Linked DNA regions of Mytilus edulis. The protein of the gene in region 3 purifies or fractionates together with the protein of the main gene of each other region. This does not show direct contact. Links are inferred from orthologs where the notes say so. Each region holds a gene or a part of one and is shown on either strand. Other genes may lie near its edges. The genes, in order: centrosomal protein of 78 kDa-like, transcription factor Sox-2-like, E3 ubiquitin-protein ligase UBR5-like and dual specificity tyrosine-phosphorylation-regulated kinase 2-like.

Region 1 (7,417 bases), on a different chromosome or scaffold from region 3:
CTTGTACCCACAATTAAATAGCATCTCAAAGCATATACATGTATCTTCACAGAATATTTTTTTTAGATGTGCTTTCTACAAATCAACCCAGGTCAACCAGGGTAGTTCATTCAGTCTGCACCGTTAGCCACTAGTCCGATGCCCCAGTCTAGTAAATATTAATTCGGACTGGTGAAAATTTTCTATAGTCTTATAGGGACAAGTTTTGATATTTAGTGTCCGGACTAGTAGATGAAAAAGTTTTGGGTGCAGACTGTTCATTAAATCAAAGCACCAAAGGGTGCTATAGGCAGTTAATCAAAAACCCAACGGCAAACTTGGCCACGTTCAGATGAATAGTGTAAAGAATTAGTCAAAATATTTATCTCAGGCATTGTTCTCAGCTATTTCTAAAGTACCAAATAATGCTTGTACAGTAATGTTTATGTTATGCAATCCTACCACTTTCAAAAGTTATTTCCAATTTATATTTATAAAGATTCAATGTCTGAGATTATACACATACACTGTCCTATGTTAGGGGAGAGGTTTGTGCCAGTTAAGATGTTTAAGCCGCCACATTCTGTATGTACCTGTCCATAGTGAGGACCCAGTGACTAGTGTGGTGATTGTAGCTGTATATCATATTTATTTTTCATAATTGTTTTGTACATTTTTTTTAATTTTATTAATTTCTTGTGTATACATCTGATTTTAGTATGATGACCAAGTTATTGTAAATGCTCTTTTGTTGCGAGGTTGGAAAGTTCCAGGCGGAAAGAACTAGCTAGCCGAAAAGTTCTCCGGAACTTATTAACTACATTGTAGTTACTTTGTTCTTCCTCTGGTTTAAAAAGTTCCACCGGAACAAGTGACTAGTTCAAATAGTTTACATTTTTGTTATTACGTTAAGGGGCCAGCAAAAGCAATCCTTTGGGTGTTGGAGTTTCTCCCTGCAGTAAAGATCCATTGGTAACCTTCGACTGTTGTCTGCTCTAAGATCTGGTTATTGTCTCTATGACACATTCCCCATTTTCACCATGTTCAGTGTTCTCCCCAGGATTTTTGGATAGCACCAGGGTAACGCGTGACGAAATGAATTTTACAATATTTTGAGTCGCGTTGCGTCGCTTATTTTTTTCTTGTTGGTTTTTGTCATTACCTTTTTGCCTTTGTTTTGTTTACTGTGGTACTGTGTTGTATGGACTTTGGGTCAGAACATTATTGGTAGAAAAAGTAAATCAATATAACAGTTTTTATACTTTAATATCTTACTTCTTATATTTGGATCAAGCCATTTTGTCCCAATACTTGAAGTTACACTACACATTCCCCATGTTAGATTTGACCATAACAATGAACTTTGAACAAGATTAATTTTTGTTACAGAACCATCAGTAAATTGAAACCTACTTTCCATTCTTTTTAACAACAGTTTTTTTTATTTTTTTTATGCATCTTAGTTATTATTTTAAAAGTTTAAGTTTATAAATACTTAATTTCAATTGTATTAGTAATTCTAAACTCACATTCCTGTGAAGTTTAGGCACAAGATGCTTTTTTATCAATGACCCATGTGAAGTAAAAGTCTATTTAATATAAAATTACAAAATGTCTGTGTATCAATAAAGGTATCATTCTCTAAAATAATTTGCAAAACATTTTCGTTGGTATCTTCTAAGATTTTTTTTATCCTTAATGTAACATTCTAATATAATTTTGCATTTAATTTGTGCTTTATTTTAATTTTCAATGAGAAATTATATGTGAGGAGCATTTATTTGTAATAAGCAAAATCAGGGGAAATAACTCCACAATTAATTTCTATAACAGTCAAATTATTTTGACTAAAAGACTGGCGTAAAAGAGTTCATTCACAAATGTCTGCTTGTCCCCTATTACAAGTCTGTTATTAAAATTATGATCTCTTAATTAATTAAAACACAAGAGAATCATGTACATCGATTAAATCCAATCATCAATGTTAACCTCAACAGGTAAATCGATCACGTGGTGTAAACAATCTACCTATCAATACTGGATTAAACTGGTTAGAACTGGTCAATTTTCATGTAAAATTTTAACCCTCACTGAAAGTTGAAGTCATTTGAAACTTTACCGATTTTAATACGAATTTTTTACCGAAAACTTTAGCACCACGGAGAAAATTTATACATCGCGGCAAGAACGATACCACCGCGGTAGAAAATTATACATCGCGGGCCCGTGGTCCTTTAAGGGCCTGGGGAGAACACTGCATGTTCACTCTCAATTTTTTTTACGTCTCAAATTATAACTGAATTAAAATATATCTTGATTACGGTTTAACTGTCTTCCATTACTAATATCATAATAAAAAAAACACATGTATTTAAACTTTCAATAACTGTAATAGTAGGAATTAAGAAAAACTTGTTTGTAACTTCAACTTGTTGAAAACATATTAAAACATTTCTCGAGCCTCGTTAGTCGTTACCTTTTTATTGTATCATGCGATTTCTTTTCATATTATTTTCATGGGGAAATCGTTTGCCAGCATAAAGTTGCTGAAGGAACCGCATAGAATTGATTCAATAACACTTAACGAGTGTTTAAATGTGAAAAATTATAAAAAAAAAAAACATTTAAAAAAGTCGTATTTTTCTGTACCGGAAATCGAAAAGTCCTTGTAAATTAAAAACAATTACGGTGTGATACGCGTCACAGATTCGGACTTAATATTTTACAAAATATGCGACTTTGAAGTTAAATAATGCCGTCCTTTAGAAAACAATTGTTAAAGTTTTAATCACAATATTTATTGAAGCACATATTGAGCTTAATCAAAGCACGTGTAGCATTATGTTACATTGTTCACAAAAGCGAAACAATCTTAAAATGACCTTGACATCGACCAATCAGAAAACTACAATAACAATAACTTAATTTGACAAGCATGAAGGTCATTTGCGAGAAATCGGAATAATATTAACAAGAAAACAAATGAGCATACGTTTAAGATTACTGAATAAAGACGATTTAAATAATCTCAATCATTTCAGACAAAAAAACGAATAAAATGATTAATAATGATGTACCTATGTTTCATCAGAATTCTCCCAATTTTAAAAGGTACGTAAATTTCGTCTTCTATGTAATTTGAAATTGCCGCCAACTTATATCAGCTGATTAATAGACTACTGACGTATGAAATACGTATCGATGATCAACAATATTCCTACGACTTTTGCCATATGGGAAATGTAAACGACTCATCTTTATAGATTTTCGGCGATCAAATATTTCATACAATTGATCTTTGACATCTTAGCCAACAGCACAGTGGATAATAAACTATAGAAGGAATTTTATCGAGCACTACTTCCTATGTGCAACTTCAAAACTTTTGGGAAAATCGACGACCAGTTAACGTTTTTATGGTAATATTTTTTTATATTCCAAATAAAAAGTATGAAAAAAGTGTCCAATTAGTTATAAATAACATGATAGCCAGTCAGATAATAAAAGTGGCACATATTTCAGCATTTATTGGGTAGAACATAAATCTAGGGTGCTCGCATAAAGCAGCTTAACTGCTTAAAAATTACATCAAAACTTGTCTACAACATGTAGTTTAACAATATACCTTATCACTATTTGGAAATCTTTGCTGCTTTACCCAAGAATGGCAAGAATCTGTGCTACCTTAACTATTGGCGTCATACAATCACTTTTACATTGTAACATTAGATAAATTCTATTGTTACGTCAAAAATTTATGAGAACCTTTGTGATGACTAGGTATGTGGGACAAATAGCGCTAAGGTGTACTATAGTGAGTGTATACAACTTCTCGCTATTTCCGGCTGACCATTGCTGACCGGAAAAGCTGTCCCGCTTCGTAAACTTTTGCATCATACACTAAGACTTTTCCATTGTGGCGTCAGATCTTTTGATTTATGACGTCAAAATATTATGGGAACATGTGTGATGTCCAGTACAGGCGGACAAATAACGATAAGGTTTATTCATACATTGAATTGTATTTGTAGATAAAGTCAAAGAATAAACTAAAGGCTTCAGGCAGATGGGCGTGTGACTACTTGTATGTAAGAATATACATCAACTAACACTGGCAACTGAATGAAAACATGATTAAATCTTCGACTTTTGATAATAGATTATTAGTGTCATACTAAAATCTTGAACAATGGTAGCTAATATATTTCATCCCCCCTTTTTGTTGCTAAAAACCAAGCTTTTCTTCAAATTTGTCATTCTGCCTAAAAAAAGCAACCACTACGGAACTTTCACTAAAGATTTCTTGCTTAATTTACCTACTAAATTATGTTTCTTCGTTTCTTTTAAGTCTTTTAGCAATGATACTTCCTTCTCAAAAGATCTATTTTCGATTTTGTGAGAATTTTCTAGACGAACGTGCTTGTTATCGGAAGTGACGTCAGATGGTTATGGAAGTTACAATGGATTCTGGGATGTAAACTAATAATCAGCGCCACTAACCTTTTATTTTGAAAGCGAAAAACTTCTGTTATTTGTGATGAATGGTAAATTATCTATCTTGTCACGAAGTCTAGTGATAAAATATCAGAGGAACAACTTTGAAAATATCGTAAAATGGCTAAAATCGGCGCATAGCATGTCAATCTCCGAAATGTTCTGTTAGATCTTGCAAAACTGGGACGAGTACCGGCATGTTTTGTTTTGATTTTGCAATTTTTCAATGTTTGTAACTGTCTTTGTATTTATACTCTAATAGACAAAGTTATAAAGAAATTATAATATGTGTGCATTCAAAAGTTTTCTTTAAAGTACATGAAGTATACAAAATGTTAAAAAGCTTACAACATACATGTACAACCCTAAATAATTTATGAGGGGGATAGGTATCAGGTTCGTTTGTGCCTAATACACTTTCGCACCTCGCATGTTTGCACCCAAGGTCCGTTCGTACCCAATTTTCAATAAAATTCCAGTTGAATAATTAGAAAATGAAGATTGTTGTTTTTAATTGATTTGATGTAAATACTGCATGTATTTAGCTTGGTATGAGTAAAAACATTGAAGATTTCAAATGAAAAACACAAAAGATTTTATTAAACAGCTTATAGGCCCCTTTGATCTGAAACAATGAAACAAAAAATCATAGCAATGCACTAACCAAAAAATGATTAGAATTTATTCAACACAAAAAAATATGTGGCCTTTGTTAGTCTTGTATGATTTTTAATTTTTGTTTTTGTGTATAATTCAGAGTTTAGTATGACGTCCATTATCACTGTACTAGTATACATATTTTTAGGGGCCAGCTGAAGGACACCTACGGGTGCTGGAATTCTCGCTACATTGAAGACCCATTGGTGGCCTTCGGCTGTTGTCTGCTCTATGGTCGGGTTGTTGTCGCTTTGACACATTCCACATTTCCTTTCTCAATTTTATGTTGTTATAGTCACTCTTTATTTTGAAACAATGAAATAAAAGTTAGCAATACACTTAACCAAAACAAGATTAAGATTTATTCAACACAAAAAAACATGTCTCACTTTAATTTAGGACAATGACAACAAATATACTCATAGGAATACACTTGCCAAAACTTGATTACAAAGTTATTAAACACAAAACCAATAGAAATTGAGCGCGAACGTGTAGGGAGCGAAAGTGAAAGGGGGCGAACGTGAATGGGCGCGAATGGACCCAGATTCATGGGGATAGGACCTTTATCAGGAATTTCGTGATCAGGTGTTTTTAAGCTCAGGTTTTTGAGATTGACCCCTTTCAACATTAAGGAATTCTTTTTTCGAAATTCGGGATGTCAGGATTTAACATGTTTAAATTTATTTAAATTCAGGATTTCCGGATCAAGACCCCTCCTACCCCCCTCATTTATAGTCTATAGCTTGACAGGTTTATTGACAATGTCATTTATATGTTTACCACATCTTTTGTCTAAATAGTTATGTCTTGGAAGGCTATTTTATTTTTTTGCATTGATGGGTATGACTACATCATGTACATAGGAATAAAAAAATATAAAAATAATTACATGAGACAGCATGATAAACTGGAAGAGTACCACTTAAAGCGACATTGCTATATACAATATATATGCCCCCCATCCCATGCTATTTCAGTCCATAAAATCACATTAAAAATCATCAGAAAAATGTCCTCAATTTTAAAGCCTGATTGCACCATTGGTATACACCTTATAGCTACAGTGAAACCTGTTTAAACCGAACCTCTTTGGGACTTAAGATTTTCTTCGGTTTTGGCCGATGTTCGGTTTTATCAGGTTTTCAGCGCACATAATTTGATATGATGGTGCTTATGAACATGTTTGGTTTATACAGGTTTTCGGTTTATACAGGATTCGGTTTAGTCAGGTTTTACTGTATTTGGAAATCTGTCTTGATTGACATAAAAATCAGTTCCACTTGAACTATTGACGTCATACAACAATAACTTTTCTATTGTGGCGTCAGATGTTTTTTATTATGACTTAGAATTTTACGGAATGGAGGACACATAACGATAAGGTCTTTTGTACATCCAGTGTTTGCAATAAAGTTTCTAAATTTTTTTTTAAATCGAGAGTTTACGACAACACTTACCTTTATCAACTGTTACCAACCGGTCCCTATTTCTGTTCAGTTGTTTAATATGCATCTTTTGAATAGATTATTAATACATGTATATATGTTTAATGGTAAATATTTCATAATTGATCTTGTTTGATACAAGGAATATATGTACATGTATATGTCACTCTGATCTATTTGCGAAAAAAATAAATATTTCTTGACAAACTTAATGGTTTTGTTTGGAGGTAGCTTATAATTTCAAATCTCTTTACTAGGAAAATAGCTTTTCCCATGTTTGAAAAGTGAGACACATTTCACTGAATCATGAATTTAAGCCATCCTTGATGTTTGATGTGCCAAGTTTTGCTGTTGTTTTTTCCCTTATAAAGCTTCTCTGTCAAAAAATAAATCCATAGTAGAGAGAGAAAAAAAAGGAGAGTTGTCTCCATTTGGTAAAGTGAGAGAAGGAAAATAACTCTACAGAACATAAGGGAGATAACTCTTCAGGACATAAGGGAGATAACCCTTCTGGAGAGAAGGGAAATAACTCTACAGAACATAAGGGAAATAACTCTTCAGGACATAAGGGAGATAACCCTTCAGGAGAGAAGGGAAATAACTCTACAGAACATAAGGGAGATAACTCTTCAGGACATAAGGGAGATAACCCTTCTGGAGAGAAGGGAAATAACTCTACAGAACATAAGGGAAATAACTCTTTCTTTGGTAAATTGTTTGAAGAATATTATAGTGAATTCAGTGTTAAAAAAAGTATAAGAAATACTTTAAATAAATGTTCACAAAATATTTCTATCAGTAATAAGATTTCTCATTTCTATTTTAGGTGACTAAAGAAG
Region 2 (7,593 bases), on a different chromosome or scaffold from region 3:
CTTTTTAATTATAGGAAATACTGTTTGTTTGTTTTAGGATACAAAAGATAAAATGTGATATGCTTTTATAAAATCTAATGTTAAAATGGAGAATGAGGAAAATTTAATGATTTGAACTCTTGGTAAGTTTTATAATTAGATGTTTACTTTTCCTGTCGTGATTGAAATCGATATTAGCTCAATCAGAAACTGACATTCGCCTTAGAGTATGTTTTTTTACATCTTGGCACCAGGTGTGAAATCTGACATTGGTGTACATGTCTCGATATAAATCGCAACGCTGCAAGAAAAACTGTCACCGTGTGCATGTAAACTGATACTCTAGAACTAATCAGTTTATTTTTTTGATTTTTTTTTAACACGGTAGAATTTACTATGCCATGAGAGTGAAGCTTGCATAAGAGCAACCGTGTTTACATCAGGAAACAAGTCCCAGAATTTCCGTATAAAATAATCACTTTCATGCATATAGTGGACATCAGTAAAGCGATATGATGCATTTGGTTTATAATTACCCTAGAGATGTTGAAAATTAAATTTAAGAATGTTCAAAACTTTAGTTTATTTTGTTGATCCAAGATGGCGACGATAAATTTGCTGGCTTAACCTTTTACGTAGTATTTCACGGACGACTGCTTTGCTTTGTATCTATTTGGAAAAATACTTAACTATGTTTGTACATGTCATTACAGAAGCGTTTAAATTTCTTCTTTCTGTCTAGAATATTTGTTAAATATAAGCCATTTTTGAATTTGAACATACAAAAGTACTCTTCTATTTTGATACTTTCGTTGAAGATAAGACCTTACATTTCAATACATTTGTTAAAATGTTATCATTCTATCAAAAAGTACACTTATAATACACACTTTAAAATATATGTGATTTGAAAAAAGTTCACCATCTAAGGGTTGTGTATAAATCTTATAAGCTATTTATATTTAGTACTCTCATACCAAAATAGAGCAAATTTATATATATAAAAAAAAATATAGGGCTATCAGTTATTGAAAGAATTCTATATTTACTGCGTTAATTTTTGTAAACTTAAAATATTTGTAAAAGACATTTTCGTATATATTTTTTTTTTACAAATTGTGTATATATATATATATATATATATAAATGTTTAATCCCGTGAGCAATGCATTACCCGGTACAGAGAAAAACACATTTTTATAAGTTTTACATCAGTTTTCGTTAATGAATGTATATTGTATTTATATTAAAAAGAAGTCTGCCAGATATGAGGCAATTTTGAAATAATTAAGCATATCTTAATTAATTCGCGACAACTGTCTATACTATATATGAGTATTATTTTCTGGAAGTAATTTTTGATTCTTGGCAATAATTTTCAGATGTTTAATAATTATGTAAACAACTCGGACCCGTGTCATGTAACTTTTCGGTGTACATTTTGTTTTATCAGAACAATCAAGCAATCGTTTGAACAGAAAAACTTAATTAGATTCCAATCTCAGATTTGTCACCTTGTTTATATGAGAACCACTGGAAGGTAGAAAAATAGTGTAAAATAAAGAGAAAAAATGCCGTTAGTTGTGAATGATAATTTAGTTCTTTTCTACTTCCAATTAAATTGTACCTCACACCTATGAAAATAGACATATACTCTACGACCTGGAATTCAATTAATTTTCACCCTGTTTGTTTCCTGTCATTCATTAATTTGATAATTGAAGGAACTTTTTACCTTAATTTTCCGGGGGGTTCCTACCGAGATGTACCCGTTAATTAGACTAAATCAATTAATCGCATCCGCTTTCTACTATTGTCATATATAATTCCATTTTCACTTTCCGTTTATATGACAAAACGAGGATGTCAAGCGATTATCACTGAAAATAAAGATTATTTGGCTTGGCACATACATCAAGATGTCGCCAATTTATAAAATTCAAACTTAAAAATCAAAAAAGAAATGGAACTGTTTTGATATGGCCGATCATATATTAATCCTCAATATACACGATTCACATTGTACCTTCATATTACACGATTAGAAAATAATATGTCGCAGTAATATTTAAATAAATTCCACACTCTCCATAGCAATAATTTTAAAGCTTCTAAAGGAAGCAAGAAACAAAAAACAAAACCAGAAGAAAAACAACTTCTTTGATTCAAATACAATGTGCTTCTTTAATATATAAGGAGAATTTTAGGGGGAAAATGAAGTAAACGGACGAAAAAGTTAGAAGTATGAATTTTAATTGATATAATTAATCTAAATGATATTGAATAGTCTAGATAATAATTAAATAAGTATCATATTCATATAATGCATGTCACTGGAAAAAACCATCCGCCTCTAATCAAATAACTACATAGGTTAGATGATAAACTAAGGGAAAACTCATTTAGAATGAACAAATGAATAAAATACTGCTTCTGGGAAAATCATAGTGTTTTAAGAATTATGAAATATCGTTTAAACAGAATTACAGTATAGGTTAAATTATGATGATCATTTGGTATTTTCTGTTATTACAAATTTATGACATACAAGTATTTCCAGGTTTAACAACACCAAAAGTAGATGAAAACTGATCGGTTGTGTTTTATTATTTATTTTACCTCTTTTCTAACAAATCAAAATAAATTAAAGTTGTTTTTATGATTATTCCAAAATAAAACTTTACGATTGTTTAAATGTTGTTAAATTTAGATTGTTTTTGATTTAATGAAAAATACCAAGATTGTCACGAAAAACAATAAAATCTTGTATTTGACACTACCTATAATACTAAAATTAAGGTCCAATTCTTCAGGTGTGGAATGTATTACACAGTTTATACTTATTGCCGATTCTTTGATCTCAATTTTCACATATGAAAAGGAAAAGTTTCTCAGCTGACTCACTTTTAGTTGACCGAAGTAATTAACGAACATTGTGTTTAGATCCCCCATTTCTTTATATCTCGTTGACAACGCACGATGCCTAGGATTTAAGAACAATGTAAAGGATAAAACCCTTAATCCTCTGCTTTCTCTACTTGGCGATGGGGGTAAATTTCATAAACTATTGATAAAACTATTCTATAACACGTGCAAATGTTTGTTTCAACTTATTCTTACTTACCATATACAGCTGAATTATTTATATAGCAAATACAAAGTAGAAATAAAGTCAAAATATAATATTTGATAAATATTTTAGGATTATATTTTGAAGTTTCATTTTCTTATGTTTACCCCTATAAATGCAGAACTCTTATTGCAAATATTTCATTTTTGTTACGTTTACCCCAATATATGCAGAACTCTTATTGCAAACATTTCTTTTTTGTTATGTTTTACCACAATATATACGGAACTCTTATTGCAAACATTACATTTTTGTTATGTTTTACCACAATATATGCGGAACTGTTATTGCAAATATTTCATTTTTGTTAAGTTTTACCCCAATATATGCGGAACTCTTATTGCAAACATTTCATTTTTGTTATGTTTTACCACAATATATGTGGTACTCTTATTGCAAACATTTCATTTTCGTATGTTTTATCTGAATATATGTGGTACTCTTATTGCAAACAATTAAGATCAAAGCTGGTACGCATTTCAACAAGTAGATCATAACACACACGTCCTAAACTAAGGTAAAAAGCCCGTGTAAATGTTTATATTTTTAAATGTGGGTCAATTCCTTAATTTTTAATTGTATCATTGTCCTCACGGCCAAGGTCAGAGTAGAACTAGACGTTTTTGATTCCTCTTTTGACCAAATTACAATGGCCATTCAATGTTCTATTGTTTGCCTTTCTCAATACTATAGATATAAAATACAATACAAAAATGTAATTGAAACCTTTTATAACATGTATACAAATGTATATCAAAAGAAATAAATACTTTATCCCTTTTACTCTTATATAAAGAGTTACTTTTGTATACATCGAATGATATTTATATTTGCGGGCAATTAAACACGCTGTTTATAAAAGCAGTAAACAAATTTACCGTTACCGTCTTTAAATGAATAGAACAATTCCAAAGAAAGAGAAATCTGTTACAAAATATTTAAAAAGCAGGTAAGAGATTTTTTTTTGCATGTAGAAATTTGAAAAATTGCAGCTTTTAGTGATAATACTATATCTTTTAAAAAGAGGTCAGTTGGCCGTAATTTGGAAAGAAACCAGAGATGTTTTTAACAAATGTAAAGTCACGCGTATAGCAGCATTTCTGTTTGTGATGTTTGTGATGTTTGTTACATTATGAATTATACAGGACATTATACAATAATGTTAGAATGGTGGTTACAGATGTAACAACATGTTAAAAGATTTACTTATAGAAATGATAAAAACCTAGGTTTAGTCTGCCATGCATGGCTTTGTTTTGGTTAGATGCTACACACATAAGACTTGTCAATGTTTCTCCCGTACTGGTAAAAAATATCTACGTTTTAGTAGAATCGCTTCTGTCTTTTATATCATTTGTTAGATTTTTAAGTTACAGATTTGAAACAAATTTACAAATTTAGGGGTCTGAGGTTTATGGCACATACTGCGCAAGTCCCCTTCGTTCTAAAATAGAGATAATAATGATAATAATAAAACAATAATGTGAATGATAATAAATTAAAAAAAAGATGTTTGTTTATGTTTTCAAAAAAGTTTATCGTAAACAGTGGACCTGATTTGATTCTGCAAAACTTTGGGGGGGGGGGATCAAATTTACACTACTGTCTTAATTCAACGGTGGTTGAGTTAACCATATTAATTTATAGTGGTTTGGGGAAAAAGTTATTGAAACTTATATAAATCCCTTCCCACTTTGCGGGTGCAAGTGCTGCCTTGTTGCGACATAGCCTGCTCTATTCTGAAATCTACAACGCTGGTTTTGCCTCCATATCACTGAAAATTTAAATAAACAACAAAATAACAAAACAAATTCAATGCAATTCTTTTTTTAAAATTTGTTATTTTTTTTTCTAGTCTGTTTAATTGTCTTTCATTTTATACTGTATAGATAACATGCTTCTCCGCCACCCGTCCGCAAGAGCTTCCAACACGCTTCTGGGTAAGAATAAGATGATGTTTATTTTCTATCAATCAGGGCGCAAAATACAATAAGAATTCAAATCTAGATTCTTCATAATAAATTAGTATTTTATAATCAGATGCTGATTTTTTTTTTTACATCAATACTAACTGCTGAAATTTTAATTATCGACAGATAAGCTGTTAGTCCTTGCTTGCTATAAAAGTGTCTGTATCGCCAACTGAAGTGAGATTTCTTATTAAAGAGTCTCTGCCCCCCTTTTTATCTCGGTTTTCAATTTGAAACCATAAAACTATAATTAGAAGAAAAAGGGCTCTTTTCATTATTTATTTTATCATTATGAATTTTTTTTTAATATAATGACATTGGACAGAGATTGGACTGTTGTACTATTTCAGGTCCACGTTTAAATGCGTTAGAAAAAATACAATTATTCCCAAATCATTACACAAAATTTTATTATTTTTTTAATGAGTAACTTGAATTTTATATTTATTAAAATATTTTGAAATGTAATGAAATATAAAAATAACAACACCTGTAAAAAAAATTCTAACGGATAATTTTTCATCTGCATGTCAATATTAGACCATGCCCACTTTTCACGACATGAGCGATTCTCAACATGATTGAATTCACTCAATTGTTTGGATACGACAATAAACTTTACCTGCGAAGTCCCGCCCACTTTTTAATATTACCGTGAATAACTCGCCAAAACCAAGAAAGAACTAATTTGATTGGACGGGGCAGTGTCTATTTTTCACTGACGAATCGATATCCCTTGTTTAGTAAACCGTATTAGCCAAAAGAATAAGAAGAAGTCGAAATTATAAGACCTGTTTTATAGTTTGGTAGTGAAAGCCGTATTGAGATTTATCATTTATTGGACTTGAACTTATTCAAAAGCTATTGACTATCTTCAGTTATTATAATCAGTGTATTGGACTTGTATAAAGCACGTGGAACACTGTTCAAATTTTATAGTATGGATAGTGACTTATCTAAACAGGGACCAACTACAACTTTACCACCAGCATCACAAGGAATGCATGTGCCAGTTACTGGAGGTATGAACATGCATCAACATCCATCGCAACAACAAGTACATTCTCCTCCATCTCCGGACATGAATGGACAACACAACAATAACAACAATGGTCTTGGTAACAAGAAAGCTGACGATCGTGTGAAAAGGCCCATGAACGCTTTTATGGTGTGGTCTCGTGGTCAGCGAAGGAAAATGGCCCAGGAAAATCCTAAAATGCATAATTCTGAAATTAGTAAGAGACTTGGTGCTGAATGGAAATTGTTATCCGAATCCGAAAAGCGTCCGTTCATAGATGAAGCTAAACGTCTTCGAGCAATTCACATGAAGGATCATCCTGATTACAAGTACAGACCGCGCAGGAAAACAAAGACCCTCATGAAGAAAGACAAGTACGCTTTACCCGGTATGCCCGGCAGTGGAGGACAGCTGCAGTCTGATCCAAACAGAATGTATCCCGGAATGAATGGATATATGCCGAATGGATATCCTATGAACATGATGCACGATCCAAATGCCTATCATATGGCAAATCAAATGGGACTAGCTCAGTATGGCAATTATTCTATTCCAGCTCAACAAATGTCTGCTAATCAGATGACATCCGCATCATATATGAATGGGACCTCAAACTACACAATGTCCGTAGGAATGAATCCGTATTCTATGTCTCCATCACAGGTTCCTCCGTCCGTAAAAAGGGAACCAAATCAACCACAAGTTCCAGGACAACCCCGTCAAGCAGGAGATTTACGGGAAATGATTAGTATGTATTTACCGGGAGATGCCAACGATCCAAATAGTGCCGCTGCTCACCATAGACTTATGCAACAACATTATCAGCAAACGGCGTCATCGGAAGCTGCAGGGGTAAATAACACTGTGCCACTGACACATATGTAATATTTTCTGTTTTTTTAATTTGTTTTACAAATTTGTGCTGCGAGAGAAAACATTATATTTCCCATTATATATATATTGTTTATCATTTTTACATTGTTGAATGAATGAACGTCGAAATCCATGACATTTGTAAGACTGTATAGCATGTTTGAAAAGCAGACAAATCGAATGAGACGAGCGCGTGCGTGTGTGAATGTTTATTTGAGTTATATGGTGCGAATTTTGCAAAAAAAATGTGCTGAAATTATTGAAAATAGATCTATATAATTTTATTACAATCATTACAGAAGTGAACAACTTATTTATACACGAACTGTTGAAACGAGATAATTTTGTAGAATATATTTAGCATAATAAGTCGGATTCGAAATTCGCCAAACAAATTTAGGGAAATTTTCCACACATATATATATTTGCTCACGGTAAATTCAATTTTCTTGAAGTAGGTTTGTAAGTATGATTAGATTTTGTTTTGTTTATGTATTAAATCGTGGTAATGTTCCGTATATATTTTTATGTTTAAAATTTAATTTTTAAATATATTTCAACTTTATGTGGCTCTAGGTTTATATGGTAAAATGATTTTGTTTGAACTAAACCAAACTACTTAG
Region 3 (7,541 bases):
GTTCTGCATTTTCTTTCCTTATAGTTTTGATTACTTTTATCACCGGTATATATGTATTACATGATCTATGAAAATAAGATGTTCAGATATAAATTAACATACTGATAAAAGAGTATTTTTTGCCTGGGAGCAATCCATGCCATTACACATGAATCAGTCTATGGATGTTTTATGTTATTTGTGAAACATAAGCATATTTTTTCAAGACACATTGTTTTTATAGACATGAATGAATATTAAGAAATATCTGTTGCTGAAAGCTAAAACAAGTACATGTAGCTATAGTAATTAATAAATAATAAATAAAGCAGAAACCATTTGCTTAAACTTTTCAAAATTACATACATGTTTGTACCATCACTATGTATAATATTAAAACAATGTACAGTCACTACCTAAAATTAAAAGGGGCATAACTCTAAAAAGGTTAAAGTTCAAATTTCGAACTTATTCTGTCTGTAATAGTAATAATCATTGTGTATAATTTATATAACATTTGGTTAAGGCAAACAAAAGTTAGAGAACAGAAACCAACGTTGGAACCTACGGACAGAAGCTTAAACGGACAAGGGTAAATCTTAATGCCCCTCCACTATAGCAGGGGCATAAAAACATATCTAACTACAACATTTAACTCACAAAAGCCCAGGAATGCCATTATTGCCACAATATATCTCTTTGGAAACCTTGACAAAGCCCATTGCCTTGGACAGACATCATGACTTTCTTCTGCAGGAGGTAGAATTGATCTTTTCTCTGATGAACTGTCACTTCTAAGGTTTCCATCATGACTTTCCATACTTCTGTAAAACGACAATACATGTTATTGCTTAATATCTTGATTGGGTATCAGGGATGATTCCACTATATTGTTTAGGGCGGCTTAGCGGCCCCAAAAAAATGTACATGAAAATGAATTCCCAATTCAGGAAAGTAAAATAAAAATCGATATTTCAGGAAAAGTTTCTGTCACCAATTAAGGCAACTATAATTTTTTATATATAGTTTGTTGTCAAAACATTTTAAAATCCGGATAAGAATGCTGTTTACGATCGCATCTTAGTAACAACGATTTAATTACATGTATGTCAACATGTGGGAAACAATTTTAGCAGCCGAATACAATTGATTAATATGTTATGGGACTTTTGGATCTTGTAAAAGCAGATCGCCCAGCAGGTTGATAAAAATTGGTGTCAAAGCAGACCTCGGCAGAGAGCAAATTCAAATTTTGATATAACATTGATGGATAAGGTTAAATGGACGCCGATCTTGTAAAAGCAGTTCACCCAGCAGAGCCGGTTATATAATATGATGAAAACTTGTTTTGTAACAGAAATTATTTCCTCAAAAGACCACAGTTTGAGCGTTTTTTGAAAATAATGTTGATGATAGAATATTCATGAAATATGATGTCATCATTATTGAACTATTTCAAAAGTTTTGAAGATGATCCAAATAATTTTAAAGAACACTGGTTCAATGCTTTAAATATCTTATCAATTAAGTATATGAACTTTTGTAATTGCTTTTCTGAATTCGACAATTGACCAGTTCAATTTGAAATCCATTTGAATTAAGGTAAATTTATAGAGATGACCTGTTGTTGAAAAAATACCTGATGAATGATTTTTTTCAGTGGTTTATGTTAGCTGAAATATATGTTTTTGTAATAGGCCTAGGTAACTATAGCTAAGATGATAGACTAGTGCATCATGTTCAATGATATTTATGTAATAACAGTCATGTGACAGTAGCCCAACCAGAATTATTAAAAATGTTACAACTTACATGAACATCAGTGTACAGGTTAAACTTAATAATATACATTTTCTGTTTTTCAGGAAAATAATGTTATTTCGTCTTAGATTTTATGCTTAAAAAATTCCCAATTAGAATAAAAATTCCCAATTTGATGTTCAAGGGACCCATTTGAAAACACCTGGAATCATCCCTGGGTATGAGACCTAATGTGTTATTACATATATATAGTTATATTTCTATATTTAAATATAAACTTTTTGCTACCTCTTTGTACCTAAGTATCTGCAATGTGGGTCTCATTGGGGTCTAAGCGTGACGCGGGATTGCCAATTTTTTGTAAGCGTGACACATGAAAGTCAAATTATTGTGTCGTGAAAACGGTAAATGAGGTCTAGCAGGACTCGGGAAATGACAAAAAAATGAGAATTGCTTACGTACATAGTGTAAGCTGGATACAGGAATCGGACAAAACGGTAAGCGGGATCCGGGATCGGAACCCCCAAAGAGACCCCCTGCAATGATTATGAGAATAAAGATATTGGTATTGGCTAGTTTCCCATTGTCATTAAAAATGAATTTACCTCCTAAAGTTAATCTCTAACTACAGGATCAATTATAGTTATTGGCAAATAGACTAGCAAACCATCAGACTATATTAACCAGTGTGTGCCTGTCTCAAGTCAGGAGCCTGAAACTCAATGGTTGAATTTGTTGCTGTGTAGCACATTTGTTTTTCATTCATTATTCCCTACATGTACATACATGACATAAATTAGACATGAGTGAATTATTTTATCATGTTTATTCTGACTGTGTGGTATGGGCTTTGCTAATTTTTGAAGGTTGTAGAGAGTCATTTAGTTGTTAATTTCTGTGTCAATTGGACTCATGTTTAGAGTAGAATCATTGGTAATCATACCATATCTTCTTACTTTTTTATATCAATGTTAATTCCAGCCTTCAGACACTTTTTCATTACTTAGAATACAAATTTAAATTTTTTTGTTTTGAGAAAAACACCCATGATTGGACAGGATAACAATGGACTCAAGCTAATAAAGCTGCCAATATATACGACACTTTAATAAAGAATTATCATCAAAAACATTTGAGGTTTGGGTTAATTTTATATAACTAATTTTGTTATTCAACCTCTCCTTTAAAAATCCTGAATCTTCCCCAAGCTTCAACACAAACTTAATTTTCTATTTATCATTTACCCATACAAAGGGTATGATGCCTGAAGTATAGTCATTCACAAAAATTGTAATCATTAGTCATCTAAGACTGTATATTCTGTATATAAGACTTTATAGTCTGTAAGCATGATCATGATGATTATTTGCAACTGCTGAACATATCAGAAATTACATTTTAAAGACTGATTGATTAATTGTTTGTTGCTTTACATACAGTGGCAAATATTTTATGCATATTCAGGATGATTTTAATGTATACCCTATCATGCCCATGCCAGTCAGAAATGTCAAATAAAGAAATGCAGCTTTTAAAATACAACCTCCAATAGAAACTACATGAAGATTATGTACCCAGTATATAATCTCCTCCAGATTGTTACGCTTATTCTGGAATATGTGCAGCTCAATACAATTAGACAGATATCCTATTGAAATTGTATTTCTACTATATCATGAACATGTATCTTCTGAAAATCAGATCTCAACTCTCTGCAATGCAGAATTTATTCTTCTGATCTGCATTCGATGGAAATTCAAATTCAAATTCTTCAGTCAAACAAAAACGTATGTTAGACTTATCTAGCCAGATTTACCATTTGACAGCTTGACATGTCTATAAATTATGTTAAGGTTCATCATAACAAATGGACAAATATGGCCGAATTTTCACCTCAAAAACTTCTCTGTGTACAGACTTACCTGTGCTGTTTGGAAAGATTTAATGCCTAGCATCCACTAGATATATAAAACTTAAATGCATTTTGTGTTTAGGAAAGATAAAATCTTTCTTGGTTTTTGATGGGCATTTTTTTTCCTTTCTGCAGAAGGTGTAAAAATAAACAAACACCTGAATTACTTTGATACTGTCCACTGACTGACTCAGATAAACTCTTTAACTCACCTATAGTTGTGAAGATACCTCTAGTCCATGTCAATTAAGGACAATCAAACAATACAAACCGGTTTTTTTACCTGAGGGAGCATCTCATAGTTGTACTACAACTTAGTTAATTTTCACACCTTTTGCATGAAGGAAAAAAAATGCCCATCAAAATCCAAAAGAGATTTTATCTTTCTGAAACACAAAATGCATTTAACTTTATTATATCTAGTGGATGCCAGGCATTAAAACTTTTCCAACTTCACAGGTAAGTCTGTACTCAGAGTAATTTTTGGCATGTAAATACAGCCATATTTGTTTGTTTGTTATGATGAACCTTAATGACGAACAACAACAGCATATGTCCACTATTTATCAACTTTCTTGCAAGATTTTTTTCATTTGAAGAAAAGAAGTGGAATTTGAAAATGTTAATCAGGTCCCTGTGTTATGATTTGTTTGTAAATAACAAAAAACATATGTAACATGAGTTATGAAATAATATGCAGTAAACTGAAACTGAAAGCACCTGTTACTTACAATGTTATCGGAATAACCTCTAACTTTCAGCCCTAGTATTAAGTACAAATCCGAAAGTTTGAATGCCGAAAAACTATAAAAATACTACCCAATCGGAACCAATGACAGTAAATATGTTTTAACCAATCGTATTTCAGGTAACAATTGACTTATGGAAATTTCTTCAAAGATGGCGAAGATCAATTAACTTTTAAAATCGGAATAAATTTCATAAAATTTCCAGTAAAAAGATAATAATTTATATTTTTAATACGTGATGACATCCATTCATTGTATAGTCCATCCTTTACCTGGAACAGATGACCAGTTGAACGATAGGTAATTGATTTATTCGTACTTGGGCTGTGGTACTTCGAGATAAAAGAAACGATCAAATATTTAATAAACGTGCTCTTTATCGCGTTACGGTATTCTGACGTCACTGTAAATTACGCATCGAAATCAATTGCAACTGTTAGATTAATGCCTTATGTGCCCTGAAATTATTTAACACAAGCCAAATGTTTTGTTTCATTAAATGTATTAATCGTTTATGATTGGGCTGATGTGACAAATGTGACCTACATGTATATGCTCTTTTTGTAGACATGAAGAATTTTAATATATTTCTCAAATAAATGGTTAAAAATTTATACAAAAAGCAACAACAAAAATGAAATCAATATTTGAACCTGACATAAGCTGTTTCTCATCACCATGACTTCTGGAATTCTTTCATCATTGTTCTTTGTCTTTTTTAGTTTTTAAATTTTATGTCAGAGCTCCAATTTTTTTATTTATTTTTTTTCTTGCAAATTATCCCAATTATTTCATACTTCATACTGCTGAATTGATTTCAAACTAAATATGGTTTAATTTGTGTAAATAAATTTGGCAATTTACCAATTATGCTTATTCAATCAATTTCAAGTAACAGGCCTCGACAATAATGCATGCCAATTGTCCGGTACCAGAGGTAAAAAAGGTCGGACAAGTAAAAGCTATACCAAGCTTGTCCGATGGGACAAGTAGAATCATTCTGCAGAAAATAAATCAACTTTGATGAACAAAGTATAATTATTAACAAAAAAAACAAGAAAAGAAGATTTGTTTGACATCTTTCCTTTTTAAACTGAAACTAATTGAAACTTTCTATTTCTCAAGACTCAGACTTGCAATCGATAATTTAAAACTGGTTCTTTGTCAAGTACTTTTAACAGGTAAAAAGCACACTTTTCTCGGAAACCAGTCTTACCATCCCATTCAACCATGCGCTTTTTAGATACAGAGATAAGGTAACTTTAAAAAACAGTTCGTCACCAGCTCTGAAATGATTCGGCTCCAAGTTTAATAGACAGTTGGGTACGGTAGGAGACATATTTCATAGACATGATTAATAGACAGTTTGGCGAGGCAGTAGACATTTCTGGACCAAGACAAATCAGAACCTCTTTTCCTACCTTATTTTGTTGCTTTATAATAATATATACCAATGTCCATACCGTATTTTTTAAATAAGAATGAGGAAATTTATTATTTACCATAAAAATCATCAAATCATGTTTGATCTTTATGTAGAAAAAACAATACTTGCAATGCAGTGACCTATAGTTGTTAATTTCTGTGTCATTTGGTCTTTTGTCTCATTGACAATCATACCTCAAATTCTTTTTATTGATTGCATTTGAATAAACTTTTTTCAACTTTTAAAAAAATAGGATAAAAATCCAATGAGTGTACATTTAGAGGCCAATCAGATGGTGCCTCATGTGCAAAGTATGATGAGACTTTAGCATTGATAAAAGCTAGAACCTAAGTCGTGTGACACACCTAAATTCAGTTGTTCATGGCTCATATCTTTTAAAAGTATTTCAAAGGATAAAAATCAAATTCTGTTCAATTTTTTTTTAATTCATTTTGTTCCTTGAATCAACTTGAAATGCAAAAAAGGTTATTTAATATTAAGATTTTTTTTTGGACAAGTTACAATTTCATTCGGACAAGTAAAAGTTTTGGTATGTACTTGTCCTACTGGACAAGTTGAAAAAAAAGTTATTGTAGAGGCCTGAGTAACATAAAATTCAAAGTGTTGAAGGTTGTCACTACAAAGTAGAAGGAAAAGTAATCATGGTCATGTTTGTGGGAATTGTTTATTTATGCTTTGCTTAGTCCCCATATGTTTCCACCAGTAGTATTTACTACATGTACAGCCCTCAATTTAGTCTACTGAAATGGTTGCCTGGGCGGCTTTAAAAGCTGATTGGTGATAAAAAAAATTCATAACTGGTCACCATTTAGGCTTAGTATTAGAATATTGAAAATCTGGCGACCTTAAATTTTTCGGAAATTTTGCCCTGATCAGAGCTGGTTTTTTAAAAAATAGTCTGAGCGCTAGACAGTAACACAAATGAATACTATATTTCAAGAGCCTTTTAGATTTAAGCTTGATCTTGTCAGCGCTTAATTGCATCAGGTAATTGTAGTTCATTTGGTAGCAATTTGTTGTCGACTGAATATGGCACAGATCTATCTATCTTCATATTTCCGCACTCAGTCACAAGTTTGACTATTGCATACCATTTGAAAGAAAACCCTTGGAATTTATAGATTGTGTTAATTGAAAGCACATGGTAGAGCCTCGTTCTTAATTTCGTCAGTAAACTAATGTAAACAATGTCGGCGACAATTTTGTAATTTGTCCTTATAGAGTCAATAAAATACTGGCTACAACTACAAAACGATTTCAGATGTTCACTTGACTGATGGGGCAATCACAAGTGCTTCTGCACAAGTCTGATGAGATTTTTACTAGTCTGGGGCTTCAAACTACTGGTTAACATCGCAGACTGATTTAAAACATGTACAACAAATATAAAATTAAATAAATCATGTGGTTATTTTACGGTGGATTTATACAAACAATTTTCTACACTAGACAGCAAAAAAACGTAATACTTTTAATTTACAAGCCTGTTTTTGTGTAAATAGAAAAAATTGTAGGCAACTTGAAATTATTTCCTGGCCACTGAAGTTTTGACTATGTTTGAGTTGGCCACTAAATTTTCATGTCTGGTGGCCAGTTGGCAACTTCATTTTAGAGGCTACTTTGAGGGCTGATATATACACACAATGTCAAGATATAAAAATTTTAGACAAACTCAGAAGCACAACGCTAAATA
Region 4 (7,446 bases), on a different chromosome or scaffold from region 3:
GTTAATAGAAATCTATGAAATTTTGACACAAGGTTTATGACCACAAAAGATAGGTTGGGATTGATTTTGGGAGTTTTGGTTCCAACAGTTTAGGAATTAGGGGCAAAAAAAGGGCCCAAATAAGCATTATTCTTGGTTTTCGCACAATAACTTTAGTTTAAGTAAATAGAAATCTATGAAATTTAAACACAAGGTTTATGACCATAAAAGGAAGGTTGGTATTGATTTTGGGAGTTTTGGTCCCTACAGTTTAGGAATAAAGGGCCCAAAGGTTCCAAATTAAACTTTGTTTGATTTCATCAAAAATTGAATAATTGGGGTTCTTTGGTATGCCGAATCTAACTGTGTATGCAGATTCTTAATTTTTGGTCCCGTTTTCAAATTGGTCTACATTAAGGTCCAAAGGGTCCAAAATTAAACTTAGTTTGATTTTAACAAAAATTGAATCCTGGGGGTTGTTTGATATGCTGAATTTAGAAATGTACTTAGATTTTTAATTATTGGCCTAGTTTTCAAGTTGGTCCAAATGGGGGTCCAAAATTAAACTTTGTTCATCAAAAATTGAATAAATGGGTTCTTTGATATGCCAAATCTAACTGTGTATGTAGATTCTTAATTTTTGGTCCAGTTTTCAAATGGTCTACATTAAGGTCCAAAGGGTCCAAATTAAACTAAGTTTGATTTTAACAAAAATTAAATTCTTGGACTTATTTGATATGCTTTATCTAAATATGTACTTTGATTTTTGATTATGGGCCCAGTTTTCAAGTTGGTCCAAATCAGGATTCCATATCAAGTATTGCACAATAGCAAGAAATATCTAATTGCACAATATTGTGCAATAGCAATTAATTTTCAATTGGAGTTATCTTTCTTTGTATAGAATAGAAGTTGATAATATATGTTGGAAATTTGCCAGACATGACTATGATGTCATTTTCTATTTTTATTTGCCAATAACTTTATGTAAATAACTTCATTGGAAATTTGCCAATATAAAATGTTGCTGATGAAGCTTTTTTTCCTTATCTTATCTAAAATGTTTTTAGATAATGTATGTTGGACATTTGCCAGACATGACTATGATGTCATTTTCTATTTTTATTTGCCAATAACTTTATGTAAATAACTTCATTGGAAATTTGCCAATATAAAATGTTGCTGATGAAGTTTTTTTTATTGTTTTATACAATAAACAATGTATATTCACTTTTACTACCAACCAATCTTTACCATTCAGTGATAACAAGCACTTTATTTTACATTTTAATATTTTATGATGTATTTAAAAGAGTAGTTATTGTTGCAAACTCCATTAGAAATTGGAATTGATATCAGTTTTGGAAAAAGGGAAACGGGGATGTGAAAAAAAAAGGGGGGGGTTAAATTTTTCTCATTTCAGATTTCATAAATAAAAAGAAAATTTCTTCAAACATTTTTTTGAGAGGATTAATATTCAACAGCATAGTGAATTGCTCAAAGGCAAAAAAAATATTTTAAGTTCATTAGACCACATTCATTCTGTGTCAGAAACCTATGCTGTGTCAACTATTTAATTGGTTTTTATATTGACAACATGTATATATAGAGAACTTTTAAAGGACGAATGACTATGTGACCAGAATAATTAGATCTACAAGTTATTTGACTTTAAGTTAGCAGATATCTTCAAATTACCCTTTAAAAGAATAATTACCTATACATGATGATTTTTAACATTTTGCATTATTTTGGTAACTATAGTTAAGAGAGAGAATTTTAACAAAATAGGATCTTCAAATTAGTCAACATGGAAGAATCGTCAATTGATTGCTTATAGGAGTTGTTGACCTTGAAAGTTGTTCATTTTTCATTTTTTACAAAAAAAACATTACAGATAGAGCAAGATCTTAAGCACGATATAAAGATCTACAAATAAGCCAAGATTATCGAAATTGTCAACAGATTCCGTCTAGACGTTATTGCCCCTGAAGACCATATTTACCTGTTTTATAAATACATGTCATGATTGCAGACGCAAATATCGAGGACATCAATACTTAATTAGAACAAAATCTTCCTAAAAAATATGATATTCAAACGATTAAATGTAGGCAGTGGCTATTTTGCCGGCTCCGAATGAAATCGTCAATTAACCTCAAATAGAAGTTATTCGCTCCTTTATATCTAATAAAGAATTGGATGTCTGCCGATGTTTTGTATTGTAACCAAATCAGAGTTGATGATTTTTTTTACAAAGTGAGAGGTTTAGCTAGCCATAAAACAAGGTTGAATCCAACATTTACTATATATAAGGAAATGCCTGTACCAAGGAATATGACAGTTGTTTTCCATTGCCTGGTTTGAGTTTTTGGTCTTACCACTTTGTAGAAGCCTAATTTGCATGGTTGTGGTTGATTTCTCGTCCCACGTTGTTGTGTACTACATATATAGCTTTCTATGGTGTTCTTTCCTGACGACTGAAGATATATTAGAGAAGGTCGTTTGTCATTTAATCTGATTAATCTATTAGGTGATTGTAGTAGAATTTAATGCTTGGTTTATTTCTAATGTTGCTTAATTGTGGCTTCTAGATTTGCTCTGTGTTGCAACTGTGGCAGATGTTTATATTTTATTGTACCAATTGTGTTGGTATTTGATTAGCTGATTTTTGTTGTTGACTGTTCGAGTAAAAGATAGTAGGAACAACTATTGAATACTAGTAATTCCACGTTTTGTTTGTGTTATTTGGATGAATTATATAGATATACTTAGGAAGATGTGGTGTGAGTGCCAATGAGACAACTCTCCATCCAAATAACGATTTAAAAAAGTAAACCATTATAGGTCAATGTACGACCTTCAACACGGAGCCTTGGCTCACCCTGGACAACAAGCTATAACGGTCTTGTTTTAATTAATCATGTCTGTTGCGTATTCCTGATCTGAAGCATTCATTGGATGGTCTACCCTTATACCAAGGAATTGTATATTTAAATATACCGCCCTTTTTTTGACGATCAATGCATTTGAATGGGGACATGTAGTTGAAACCCCCCCCCCCTTTTTGTCCTTTGTTAGGACCCCCTTTTAAAATGGCTTGATCCGCCCTTGATATCCATCATGTCTAGGCCTATATAATATTACAAAAAAATGCAATGATTAAGCTGGGACTACTAGTTCAGCGAATTTATATATTTCGATTTTTTGGCATAATATGATATGAAACTTTTATCCACGTGCTTTTATCACAAATGCAGTTATTTCAGTCTGGGAATAGTCACTTTGATTTTCACAAATACTTATATCATTATATGTTTGATATGTATGTTTATTGTGTTATTATATGTTGGTCACAAACTGTAAAGTTTATACGACAAATATTTGATTTGATTGATTTGATTATACAAAATATTTCGCAAATGTACAATATAGTATCACGGTGCCAGTTTTATTTATTTGTTAAATTGTATATTTGTTGACTCTTTTGTATATTATGTTTGCATTTTAATCCGTCAGGGTTTTACTTTTTTTACAGTACAGAATTTATATATGATTTTTACAATTATTCAAGTAGCCTTAGAAGTGGCTACCAATGATATATTTTTTTATATATATTCTGTGAACAGTTTTTTTAATATATATGTTCCTAATATGTTCATTAATATTTCATTTGATATTAAAGGGGCACTAGCTACGATATATATAAAAAAATAAAGTATGATTTTTTTTAGATCAATCATTAATCAAATTGGAATAATGAAATAATAATTTGCTTTTAGCAATCAATTTCCTTTAATTTTGTTGAAATAAGCGATTACACATAATTTTTGACTGATTCACTTGCAAGTGAAAACGTCATCATCATTCTAACCGGTATTCATGTGAACTTCAAGTTAACCCCTAGCTAGAGATTGACAACGCATGCATTGTACGTGTACTGGTTATTTAAAGAAAAAGAATGTCAACAATGAAAGTGAAACTACGGTAAATCATTTGATTACTAATTCGATGCACATAAATTCATTCTTATATGGTTAAAAACAATGAGAAACATCTATTTTTAATCTATAAAATAAAATCAAACAGACCTATAAAAATGCAATTGCACGTGTTGGTTTAATCTATTCGTATCTTTATTTTTGTTTACATCGCTTATATGGTCATCTGAGGTCAAATCGATAGTTAATTAGATGGCGTCTGGACTAAAATACACACGAAACGAACCTATATATTATCTACCCCATGCTCTGTAAACTGTTTATTTTAGACTTTTGATAGTTTGGATAAATGTTTTACATTGTTATAAACCAAATATGAGAATTTGAGTCAAATCGGTTACAATGAATTTGACAGCTAGTGCCCCTTTAATATAAAATGTTTTATCCAATATACTCGTGTGTTTCGTTTTGTAAAAATTACAAGTAAAATGTATTGATTTCTTTTCTGTGCACATGTGACCACAGTTTCCATGACGTCATAGACACTGCACAACTGGGTCGTGCTTGGCAACCGATCCTCCATACTGTCTTAAAAAATAGCAACAGATGTGTTTTTGGGATATAATTTGATGCCAGACAGTAATTCTACATTTCATTGACCATGTAAACAACAAATTTGAGGTGAGATCATTGAATGATTAACAAATGAAGACAAAATTGGTCTCCAGGCAAAATCTCAGGGTCATAAACAATCAGGAGGGGGGAAAATGTCGACACGAGTCAAACCCCTGCCAATTCAACCACTCTCGGTTCAAAGAACAAGGTCTATGCTGACCACTGGCGACATGTATTCTCATCAAACAACAATAGATCCAGCCCAACATTTACCACCCCTTACAAGTCAAACTGTAGGGGGTGGTGCCCATAGTGCCCACATAGCGAGTGGCGTGAAGGTACAGCAGTTATACGAAGACCACAAACATCACTCGCATTCAAAACATCATGGACAGCATACAGGAGATTCATCTAAAGATTCCAACGTTGTAGCACGTCCTAGTTCAAGTGCAGGAAGTATTGGGAGCAAAGGTGGTTCCGCAGCGCGACGTAACACCGCATGGAGTCCAGAATCGGCAATGAAACAGTTTATGCATAAATTGACATCTTTTGAGCATCATGAAATCTTTAATTTTCCGTCTGTCTTTTTCGTGGGACAAAATGCAAAGAAAAGGCAAGGTGTTGTAGGAGGTGCAAACAATAATGGTTATGATGATGATCAAGGCTCCTATATTCATGTGCCACATGATCATATAGCATATCGGTATGAAGTATTAAAAGTAATAGGAAAAGGTAGCTTCGGTCAAGTAGTAAAAGCTTATGATCATAAAGTAGCTCAGCACATTGCATTGAAAATGGTTCGTAATGAAAAACGCTTTCACCGACAAGCACAAGAAGAAATTAGAATTTTAGAGCACCTTAAAAAGCAAGACAAGGACAATACTATGAACATAGTTCATATGTTAGAACATTTTTCATTCCGTAATCACATTTGTATTACATTTGAATTACTTAGTATGAACTTGTATGAACTCATTAAGAAAAATAAATTCCAGGGATTCAGTTTACAACTCGTTAGAAAGTTTGCTCACTCAATTTTGCAGTGTTTAGATGCATTGTACAAAAATAGAATCATTCATTGTGACCTTAAACCAGAGAACATTCTTTTGAAACAACAGGGTCGTAGTGGAATTAAAGTAATAGACTTTGGTTCAAGTTGTTATGAACATCAACGTATATACACATACATTCAGTCTAGGTTTTATAGAGCACCTGAAGTGATTCTTGGTGCAAAGTATGGAATGCCTATAGATATGTGGAGTTTAGGATGTATCTTAGCAGAATTGTTAACTGGATATCCAATGTTTCCAGGAGAAGATGAAGGTGATCAATTAGCTTGCATTGTTGAATTGAATGGCATGCCACCCCAAAAGTTATTGGATCAGTCAAAGAGAGCACGTAATTTTATCAGTTCAAAAGGTTATCCAAGATACTGTACAGTTACAACATTACCTGATGGCAGCACTGTACTGAATGGTGGACGGTCAAGAAGGGGAAAACCTAGAGGTCCACCAAATAGTAAAGATCTGGTAACTGCATTGAAAGGATGTGAAGATCCGTTGTTTTCGGATTTTATGAAGAGATGTTTAGATTGGGATCCATCAACCCGAATGACCCCAGGTCAGGCATTGCGACATCCGTGGTTGAGACGAAGGTTGCCAAAACCACCACCAAATGAAGTAAGAACCGACTCTGCTTCACGAAGGAAGACATCAACAGCTAATACTGCAAGTGTAATAATTTCAAAAGGGCCACAAAGTGGAAATTCAAGTAGCAAAGGGCGAAACCCAGTAACTTATGATGAAATGTCGGCTCCGATGCCCCCACGAACAAAACTGCCACAAATAGGATCAACAACGTAGAGATTATCGTTTACAAGTATTGTGATGCAAATTTTGTGAATTGCCGTCCAAAATTTCTTGATCTAGTGTTTTAACAGATCATCATGCACCCTAAATTTATTGCCTGATGTTCAGTAATAAATGATTGTGTGATTCACTTTATATTCTGGAAAGCCAAATTCTGTTCAAGGTTGAAAGTCTTCAAGTATATTATATGCACTAGTATAACTGAACAAGTCTGGAGTATTTATGTCCGTAGATATAATCGTGTGTGTGCATGAAAATGATATATAGTAACTGAAACAGTTTCTTTTACTTGTTGAGTCTTTGGATAGTGTCGAGAGATGTGCTTCATCAGAAAAATCCAGGAGTTTTTATTCAATATAAGCCTTTCTGTGATCAGCATTGTTATTTTAACATTTTGACTGGAGGCTGTATTTATTTGAAACCATGTGATGTGTACTGTGAGTGCTACTTTGATAATTAATAATTTATTTTTGAATGTCTTGTCTCAGAGTGTTATAAGGCTCTTATTTTTCTTTTAATATCTCATTTTATAAAAATATTTTGGATTATGATGAAATGTATTGAGGTGATCAACATGTATTTGGTGAAAAAGAAACACCCAAATAATTCTTCAACTTCCTGAATAAAAGAAATGTTGTTGTCACTACATGCATAGAGAAAATTTAAATTACAAACAAAACAAGTATTGTCATTGTGTAACTAAACACCACTGTCTTAATTGAACCTATTTTGTATTTTTATTTTATAATATGTTGGTGTAATCATAACCATAATAACTAAGTATTGTCAACCTGACCCAGGAAACTTTGAAATGTGATTTTTTGAAAAGAATGAGCTTAAATTTTCCCCCAGATATACTATTCTAGGTATTTCCTCAAATGACGACAGGCAAAATAATAAAATGCAGTGAAATATTTGGCATTGTTAAACACCTTTTATATTGTTAGCTTTTGAATGGGTTATCCCGATATGTATACATTTGATTCAATTATATCTTTTTGCCCTTTCTATAATACCTGTACATGTATGCAGTAATTAAAAAA

Evidence for each region.
Region 1: the proteins of E3 ubiquitin-protein ligase UBR5-like (region 3) and centrosomal protein of 78 kDa-like purify together in Homo sapiens (affinity purification with western blotting; 3 studies listed by BioGRID, with this or other methods). This does not show direct contact. The link is inferred for Mytilus edulis from reciprocal best matches to the Homo sapiens genes UBR5 and CEP78.
Region 2: the proteins of E3 ubiquitin-protein ligase UBR5-like (region 3) and transcription factor Sox-2-like purify together in Homo sapiens (affinity purification with western blotting; 3 studies listed by BioGRID and IntAct, with this or other methods). This does not show direct contact. The link is inferred for Mytilus edulis from reciprocal best matches to the Homo sapiens genes UBR5 and SOX2.
Region 4: the proteins of E3 ubiquitin-protein ligase UBR5-like (region 3) and dual specificity tyrosine-phosphorylation-regulated kinase 2-like purify together in Homo sapiens (affinity purification with western blotting; 3 studies listed by BioGRID and IntAct, with this or other methods). This does not show direct contact. The link is inferred for Mytilus edulis from reciprocal best matches to the Homo sapiens genes UBR5 and DYRK2.

Annotation. Positions count from the first base shown.
Region 1 is NC_092354.1:21,995,473-22,002,889, reverse strand, and holds the start of centrosomal protein of 78 kDa-like, read left to right. Parts: upstream 1-4,410; 5' UTR 4,411-4,523; intron 4,524-7,404; 5' UTR 7,405-7,417. UniProt on the Homo sapiens protein: Centriole wall protein that localizes to mature centrioles and regulates centriole and cilia biogenesis. Involved in centrosome duplication: required for efficient PLK4 centrosomal localization and PLK4-induced overduplication of centrioles.
Region 2 is NC_092346.1:79,535,557-79,543,149, forward strand, and holds the start of transcription factor Sox-2-like, read left to right. Parts: upstream 1-4,576; 5' UTR 4,577-6,019; coding exon 6,020-6,982; 3' UTR 6,983-7,593. UniProt on the Homo sapiens protein: Transcription factor that forms a trimeric complex with OCT4 on DNA and controls the expression of a number of genes involved in embryonic development such as YES1, FGF4, UTF1 and ZFP206. Binds to the proximal enhancer region of NANOG.
Region 3 is NC_092355.1:19,654,593-19,662,133, reverse strand, and holds the start of E3 ubiquitin-protein ligase UBR5-like, read left to right. Parts: upstream 1-4,518; 5' UTR 4,519-4,639; coding exon 4,640-4,701; intron 4,702-7,541. Other genes in the region: sialin-like, read right to left, coding at 640-799. UniProt on the Homo sapiens protein: E3 ubiquitin-protein ligase involved in different protein quality control pathways in the cytoplasm and nucleus. Mainly acts as a ubiquitin chain elongator that extends pre-ubiquitinated substrates.
Region 4 is NC_092344.1:83,552,020-83,559,465, reverse strand, and holds the start of dual specificity tyrosine-phosphorylation-regulated kinase 2-like, read left to right. Parts: upstream 1-4,435; 5' UTR 4,436-4,687; coding exon 4,688-6,397; 3' UTR 6,398-7,446. UniProt on the Homo sapiens protein: Serine/threonine-protein kinase involved in the regulation of the mitotic cell cycle, cell proliferation, apoptosis, organization of the cytoskeleton and neurite outgrowth. Functions in part via its role in ubiquitin-dependent proteasomal protein degradation.